2 linked regions of the Yarrowia lipolytica genome follow. The protein of the gene in region 1 purifies or fractionates together with the protein of each later gene. This does not show direct contact. Links are inferred from orthologs where the notes say so. Each region holds a gene or a part of one and is shown on either strand. Other genes may lie near its edges.

What was found.
Region 2: the proteins of YALI1_E31724g (region 1) and YALI1_D25208g purify together in Saccharomyces cerevisiae (affinity purification with mass spectrometry; 3 studies listed by BioGRID, with this or other methods). This does not show direct contact. The link is inferred for Yarrowia lipolytica from reciprocal best matches to the Saccharomyces cerevisiae genes RBA50 and GPN2.

What each region holds. Positions count from the first base shown.
Region 1 is NC_090774.1:3,170,230-3,174,688, reverse strand, and holds YALI1_E31724g (uncharacterized protein), read right to left. Parts: upstream 2,256-4,459; coding exon 609-2,255; downstream 1-608. Other genes in the region: YALI1_E31754g (uncharacterized protein), read left to right, coding at 1-382; YALI1_E31717g (uncharacterized protein), read left to right, coding at 2,956-4,459. UniProt on the Saccharomyces cerevisiae protein: Forms an interface between the RNA polymerase II enzyme and chaperone/scaffolding proteins, suggesting that it is required to connect RNA polymerase II to regulators of protein complex formation.
Region 2 is NC_090773.1:2,519,172-2,522,717, reverse strand, and holds YALI1_D25208g (uncharacterized protein), read left to right. Parts: upstream 1-1,938; coding exon 1,939-2,973; downstream 2,974-3,546. Other genes in the region: YALI1_D25216g (uncharacterized protein), read right to left, coding at 122-1,135; YALI1_D25178g (uncharacterized protein), read right to left, coding at 3,305-3,546. UniProt on the Saccharomyces cerevisiae protein: Small GTPase required for proper localization of RNA polymerase II and III (RNAPII and RNAPIII). May act at an RNAP assembly step prior to nuclear import. Required for establishment of sister chromatid cohesion.

The sequences.
Region 1 (4,459 bases):
CATCCACGTGTGCGATCTTGCTGCTGGCCACGTGGCTGCCCTTGAGAAGCTCGAGGCTGTCGATAAAGAGCGAAAGCAGCTGCCCCAGGGGTCCCCCGAGCTCAAGCACGGTTTCTCTCGAGAATGGAACCTAGGAACCGGCCACGGATCTACTGTGCTTGAGGTCGTCAAGGCCTTTTCCAACGCCGTGGGTAAGGACCTACCCTACGAAATCACCGGTCGACGAGACGGAGACGTTCTGGATCTCACCGCGAAACCCGGCCGAGCAAACTCCGAGCTCAACTGGAAGGCAGAGAAGACTCTCGACGAAAGCTGCTCCGATCTGTGGAGATGGACCAGCGAGAACCCCTATGGTTACAAAAAGGACCGTCATGACAAGTAAGCTGCATTGCTAAAAACAGTTTTTTTCGAAAAAAAAAAAAAAAAAAAAAAAAAAAGTAACACAGCCAATGGTTATAGATTGTAGTTGGTTGTGCAGTTTAGTAATAATGTATTATGATTTTTAAATTGAGTAGTATATACAAGTGATATTTACTGTAGATAATATTGATGATGACCTATAAATGAATTCCTATCTATAACTAACTATTCCACTATCCCACTCCACTCTAACTAGCCTGTCGAGTATCACTTCCGCCCTGTTTCCACAGCCAGAGAGCTTCGGTAGCGTATGCTGCAACGTTCATCTGCTTGGCATGGGTGGCCTCGGTGATTGATTCGATGACTCGTCCCTGGTCAATGAGACCTCTAAGACCCATGCCAATGGTCTTTCCATACTCCTTCTCCATGACAGTAGGGTTTCCAAGACGGTACAGAATTCGTCCGAGGGTTCTGATGGCAATACATCGCTGCCCCGACACCGAACTTCGCGCAAGTTGAGCTAGCTCGGGAATGGTATATCCAGCCATCTCTGGGTTCTCGCCATGGTGATGCAGACCAAGGTTCATTGGGATGTTTCGAGAGGTCTTGGGGGTGATGATGTTACCTTTGAAGTCGAATCTAATCTCAGATGGGAGCATAGTTTTAGGCAGTGGAGCATCTGAAGTGTCCTGAATGATCTTGGCAGTCATTTCTCCATCGGGTCCTCGCTCCTCAACCACTCTGTGTCTGGCATCGGTCATCCATGCCATCTTGGACGGTTCTTTGGGCAGATCAGGAAAGTACTTCTCATGTAGTTTCTCCATAAAGTCTTCGTCGTCGATGGACATGGGATCTTCATCGTCAGCAGCGAATGTGGGAGGCTTTGGAAAATGCACTGCCTGAACGCCAGACTTCTGAGACTCTGCCTTGTCTTTACCCTTTTCATCTCCATCCTCCTTTGCCTCAAACTTGACCTTCTTTGGTGTGGCAGAGCTATCAAAATCCATCTCCGATGCAGTCGCTGTCTTGGTCTCCTTCTTGGGTGTTCCTGGGGTAGTGGCAGGTTTGTCATCATCATCTTCATCCTCAACATCGTACTTGGACTCCATATCGCTAGGTTTGACCTCTCTAGCTCCCAATGACGATTTTAGGTCATCTCCTAGAGAGCGTTCAGCCTCCTTTGTCTCTTTAGTCTGCTCAAGTTCTGCCTTAACATCATCCCTAACTTCCGTAATTGTCGGCTCTTCCCTCGCGTGTTCACTCTGTGGCTCTTCTTTGACAGGCTTCGACTTATTGAAAACCTCCTCCGGCTCCTCCACGGTCGGCTCCTGTTGAGGAGGTTCCATATCGTCTTCCTTGATCTTGGCCCGTCTCATGAGTGCCATGAGCACGTTCTCATCCATGCTTTCCATGATCTCTTGTCTCTGGGCCTCAATTTCCTCAGGACTCATCTTGGCAAGCTTTGACAAGTTCTCCAGATGAATCTCCTCGGCTTCAGTCAGCTTCTGATCCGACGGATAGTCGTTCTGGAAACGTCCAGCTACCGTAGGCTTTGCAGGCGGTGCCTGGTTGTTGACGGGAGCAGGAGCAGGAGCAGGAGCAGGAGCAGGAGCAGGCTTGGGCTTTCGCTTCCACTCTCGCTTGAAGGCGCTGGGAGCCTTTGGGGGCATGGGCGGTAGGGGAGCCGGTGTGTCTTCAATGTCTCGCTCGATGATATCTCCAACGTCCATTGTGTGTTTGTATGTCTGTGGTTCTTGTTGTACGAGTAGCAAATAATTTTGGCGATATGCATGCCTTGGTATCGAACCTTGATCAACAGATGGTTTGGGTGTGCGGCCCTTGTCCTCCCATCTCCCAAACAGAAATTGGTGGCGTCTGGGATAACAACAGTCCATAGCTCGTTGATTGAGAGAAAGAATCACCGGATCTGACTCGATGATGGAGACGTTAGAACCAGAAACTTGATATGGTATGATACTACAGTAACAGAGCAGAAAATATTGTGCTCCACAATCCTTTTATCGCACCTCGCGGGTGGGCGGAACCCTTCTCATCATCGTACACTTCATTTATTATCCATCACAGGTTAATTTCGTGTTGACGTGATAACACATACTAGAGACGAAGACCAGTTAGATCTCTCGCCACTTAAGCCTCACCCATGACACTCATTACCACTACCGAGCCCAAACCGACCTTCATTCCCAAATCCACCACCTGACCACATCTATCATACCGCGTATATGTACAGCAACATTAAAGAGGTGAAGGAGTAGACACAAGAGAGCTCGCGTACATGTACTCTGCCTCTCAGTAACGCGACACGAGCAATTTTCGAGCAGCCATATTAATCTCCACCCCACGCAATCTGTAACGATACAAAATCATCATTCGGACTCGCCGACCCACCCACACAAACTGCCCTGTTCCCCCACGTTTTGCACTCCTCCGTTGTCGGTAAACTGTGCGTCCCTGACGCATCGCAAAAGTTTTGGATCTCTGGACAACCGCAAGCACGACCAGTACCTGATATCGCTCAGCAGATAGAAGCCCGTTCCTCACGTCCCGCGACACTGGAGAGTGTTTCTAGGCCTCATGCAGAAAATCGAGCCCGGCGACGTTCCGGGATTTCTGCCCGAGGTTCCGGAATTCACCGAACCGCACGAAAACAATAACGAAGCATGGAAACCAAGCTCGGCCCGGATTATTGGAGCTACGACGGCCGGTACTCGGGCGCTCGCATCCCAGCTCTTCACATTTTACATCCGTGTGCCTGTCAAGCTCTTTCGACCTACCAGAGTCGACTACTTAGCGCTTCCACGGGCGCTGTCTCCAAACAGCGACAAACCTTGGAGCTTCAAAACACACAGCAGTCCGGCTCTGATTGCCAACGCAGTCAAACAGCATGGCTGGGGTTTTATTCCAAATCAATTGCTGCCCCCCTTATTGGCGAACTCGGCCGTAGGACTGGTATTGTACTCCACATATCTGGGATGTCTACCATTATTCAAATCAGAGAAAGACCGACAAAAGGAGGATGAAGAAGACGAACACCAACGACAACTGCTGCTAAGGAAATCATGGTATGATACCCAGGGAATGGACGGCTCGCATGTGAAATACATCATCGATGAACTCATGCCTCATCGATACACGTTCAAACAGACGTTTTGTGCCGGAGCAGTCGCTGGAGCAGCCCAGGCAGTAGCTGCAGCACCAATCGACGCCATCTACAGGCGTTCTTCGATAGCAGAAGTGCTCAAGACCAAACAGTTGCCCTCTATGTGGTCCTATGGAATGGAGAAGTTGCGCCAAACAGGTGCACCAGGTGTCTTTGCTGGCTTTACGTTGTCAGTTGTCAAAGAGAGTCTGGGTTTTGGGGTCTTTTTTGCCACGTTCGAAATGGTTAAGGGATCGTGGTACAGGTCCTATGCCAAGTGGCTGTATGCTGATCGTCTCAAGGAACATCCTTCAGGCTTTGATGAGAATGGAAAAAGCATCGTCAACAAGGTCCTAGCACCTTTCAGCATCCTTGTAGCTGGAGCAGCAGCCACCATCTCACTGCATGTGGTTCAGTTTCCTCTTCAGAAGCTGCAGGGCATCTACCTGACTCGTCTCGATACTCAAGACCTCATTGACGCAAGAAAACAACTGGAAGCTAACCGATCCAAGGAGCAAAAGACACAGAACAAACTTGGAGAGCGAATAAAACATCAGGCCAGTCCCGCCTCTCCTTTCCAGTCAACATTTCTATGCTACGAGCGTCGGATTCACCACAGAAACCCTCTTATGGTGGAACTGTCTGAAACGCTGGAGGAGACTCTTCCCAGAACGCATTCACTTCTTGTGAAGTTTGGTAAGGGATGGAGTAAGACCGTCAACTTTTCTATTAGATGTTTTACTACTCTTAGATACAGAATCTTCCCGGGTATCCATCTCTACTACCGAGCCTACGTTGAGACTCTGCATACAGCCAATAACATCCGAAAGGGTCTGCGGTTGAGTTGGCCCAGATACCTATACCATGGTTGTGGCTGGACGACCCTCAGTGCGCTTCCGTCTACGTCTATCGGTCTGTTCGTGTTTGAAATCATGAGAA
Region 2 (3,546 bases), on another chromosome or scaffold:
TCAACACCCCGTCCCAGTCCTACATCTCTTTATGAATACATCATCTATTGGGCAAAAATGGAGAGCCCACCTACTCGAGGCTATTATAACAATCCTCCCTCCTCCCCTCATGGCAAATGCATCACTCCTTCTTCTTGTCCTTGTCTCCCTCCTTGGTCTCCTCCTTATCCTCCTCCTCCTTGAGGTTCTCCTTGTTCTCGATCTTGTTCTCGATCAGGTTGTGGAAGGCAATGATGGCTCGGACCAGAGTGGAGAGGTAGACAATCATGAGCTCGTCGTTGGACTTGACAGCAAAGGCCTTGGCCCGCTCGTCAGTGGTCTTAGCAGCGTCGGTGAGAGAGTCGTCAGAAGACGAAACAGAAACGTTGGGCAGCAGGTTGAACACATCCTGCAGCTTACCAAGAATCACATGGTTCAGAGGCAACTGGCCCTCGACCACCTTTTGCAGGTAGTTTGCAATCTCGTGAAGCCGTTTGTGGAGCGATTGCAGGGACATAAGCTGGTTGGTGATTCGCACAGACAGGTTGCCGGCCGCGGCGTCTCGCACATCTCGCAGCAGATGCTCCACACCAATCTCCTCGGCCTCCTCGGCCTCAATGGACGACGGCACGTGCACAAACGTTCTGTCGGTGGCGCTGCCGTCGTCCTTAATGTCCTCAATGGCAAAGTAGGCATCGGTGGGGACACCCACTTCCTGAGGCTGGATGTCGACAATCAGTAGCAGGGGGTTGGGGGTGTATCGCTTGAAGAGCTCGTTGATCTGGAGATCGGAGGCTCGCAGATTGGGACCCGAGTGGTACCATCCAATGAGCTTTTCCTTGGCGTTGATCTTCTTGAACATGTCGCCCATGTTCTCCACAAAGTTGTGGTCCAGAAACCACACGTCGGGCTGCTTGTCGTCTTCCTCAAAGGGAATGGCGTACGAGTTGGTGACTCGGATCGTGTTGCCGGTGTTGTCGCCCAGAAGCACGCCGACCACCCGCTTTTTTGTGTTCATGGCGATTCGGTTGTAATGGTCCACTACCGAAAGCAGCACCAGGGGGGCGACCGTCACTTGCTCGTAGGGCAATGACGACACCAGAGTCGTGGGGACTGCTGGTGCCGATCCGTTCTGCGCGGGTTCTACTGTCGTCATTTCTGTGTTGAGAGATGGGATGTGATGAGGTTGATGTGATGTGGTGATAATAGAGAGTGGTGATGCACGCACCAGATAGAGTTAGTTGCCACCTGGATGGTGGTAGTTGAGATAGGATAAAGGAGCGAAAGAGGGGAAAATAAGAGGTGTCAAATGAGTGGAGAGTGTGTGATTTAGTGGCCCAGGTCGTCTGTTGCGATGGATGTGTCGTGATGGGTCATAATTACTAAGCTCTGAATGAAAGGTGATGTCAAGTATAAGCCAAGTATATTAAAAACAAGTCAAGTAAACTCAACTAACGCCACCATGAGGGTAGTGAACAGTGATGGGAACTTGTAAAGTAGCGGTCAATGTAAAAGTTATATTAATCGAAAGAGAACTTATGGGGGAGTTGATTTACCCACAATATGGACAAAAACACTCTCCATATGAACAAAATATCGATGTCCCTAACAGCTCATTTGTCTTCTCTAATTACCACCAGTACAGTATGTACAGTATGCACTAAAGTAGCAAAAACTAGCTCTGTAAAATACTGCGTTGGGACTGTACGCAGAGTGTTCTCATACCTCCATCTGTGGGCTGATAAGATAGTCTTCAAAGTACGCTTCCCGATATCGGATTTGACCAGAAATAAGTTCAAAATAATCACCTTGTCGATGTCTCCTCTGTCTTGTCTTTCCAACCTCATTTTCCCTTCGCCACCTTTCGATAACTACTCTCCACTGCACGCCGCCTTACCGCAACCTGCATGAAACTTACTGCCAGAATTATTTGTCAAACTAACCAACACCACACACAACATGTTCGGACAGCTGATTATCGGACCGCCAGGGTCGGGAAAATCGACCTACGCCTATGGAATGTACCAGTTTCTCAATGCCATTGGTCGCAAAGTCTCAGTGATCAATATGGATCCTGCCAACGACCATGTCCAGTATCCGTGCGCTTTGGACATTCGAGACTTTGTGCAGCTGGAGGATGTCATGACGGAACAGAACCTGGGACCCAATGGAGGCATCATGTATGCTTTGGAGGAGGTGGAGACGGATGTGGACGGGTTTGTTAACAAGATCAAGGAGCTGGGAGACAATGAGTACCTGCTGTTCGACTGTCCCGGCCAGGTGGAGCTGTTTACACATCATGGCGCGCTGCAGAGGATATTCAAGCGGCTGGAAAAGCAGGAGAAGGCGCGTCTCTGCGTGGTCAACCTCGTCGATTCGCATTACATCACCAAACCATCTCTTTACGTGTCAGTCTTGTTGCTCACTCTGCGATCTATGCTTCAGCTCGATCTGCCCCAGGTGAACGTGCTGAGCAAGATCGACTTGATCCACCGCTATGGAACGCTCGACTTCAACCTCGACTATTACACAGAAGTGCAGGATTTGCACCACTTGTTCCCTCTGCTGGAAAAGGAGGCAGGAATGACCAAGTATGCCAAGCTGACGGAGGCTATTGCAGAGGTAGTTGAAGACTTCGGTCTGGTAGCCTACGAGGTGCTGGCGGTGGAGGACAAAAAGAGCATGATCCAGCTGCTCACAACTATAGATAAGGCGACAGGCTACTTGTTTGGAAGTACCGAGGTCGGCGGAGACTCGTTCTGGGCGGAAGCAACTCGACAGGGAGGATATGTGGGTGGAGTTTCTGATATCCAGGAACGGTGGATCGATTACAAGGACGAATACGATGAGGAAGCGCGAAAGGAGCACGAAGAGAAGCTCAAGGAGGCAGAAGAGGCCACTAGACCTTTGACTGCGGACGAAGAGTGGGAGCAGGCTCTACAGGATTATGAAGAGGGTATGGGAGGTCCTGCTATTAAGCGGGAGAACAAGTGAGAGCCGTCCGATACTGCATTTCTTATGAGGCCATGTGTGCTTTCTATGAGTGCTCCACCAACTCTATGAGCTCTCAATGGGCGTCCTAGAACCCATGAGTCATGAACAATAGTTCGAACTAGAGCTGTATTATATTATTAATGTATTGATTTAAAAGGAGAGGCATGTACGAAGGAATATGAGAATCCTTAGCCCTTGATGAGTATGCTGAAGGTCTTTTAATGGATCTTTCCATTCCTGAATCTCCTGAATCTATTTTGTTACTTAAATAAGGGCATTAAAAGAGTGTCTCTAGGACCACCACGAATCTGGAATACTATACATTTTTTCTTCATGGGATAACACCCGGATCATGATGCGCACCGTGCGACCGATGGTGGAGATGCATATGGTGGTCGTTAAGGTGGAATTCGTTTTCGAGGTCGAGATGGAAAGCGTCAGTCAGATGTCCGCCCTCGTCGTGGATTTCCATCAGCTCGGGCATGATGGTGGGGTCTTTTCTGTCGAGCACCACCGACTCCGATGTTGTGTCTGCGTCGACATGAGGAGCGTCTCTGAGCACAGACATACCGG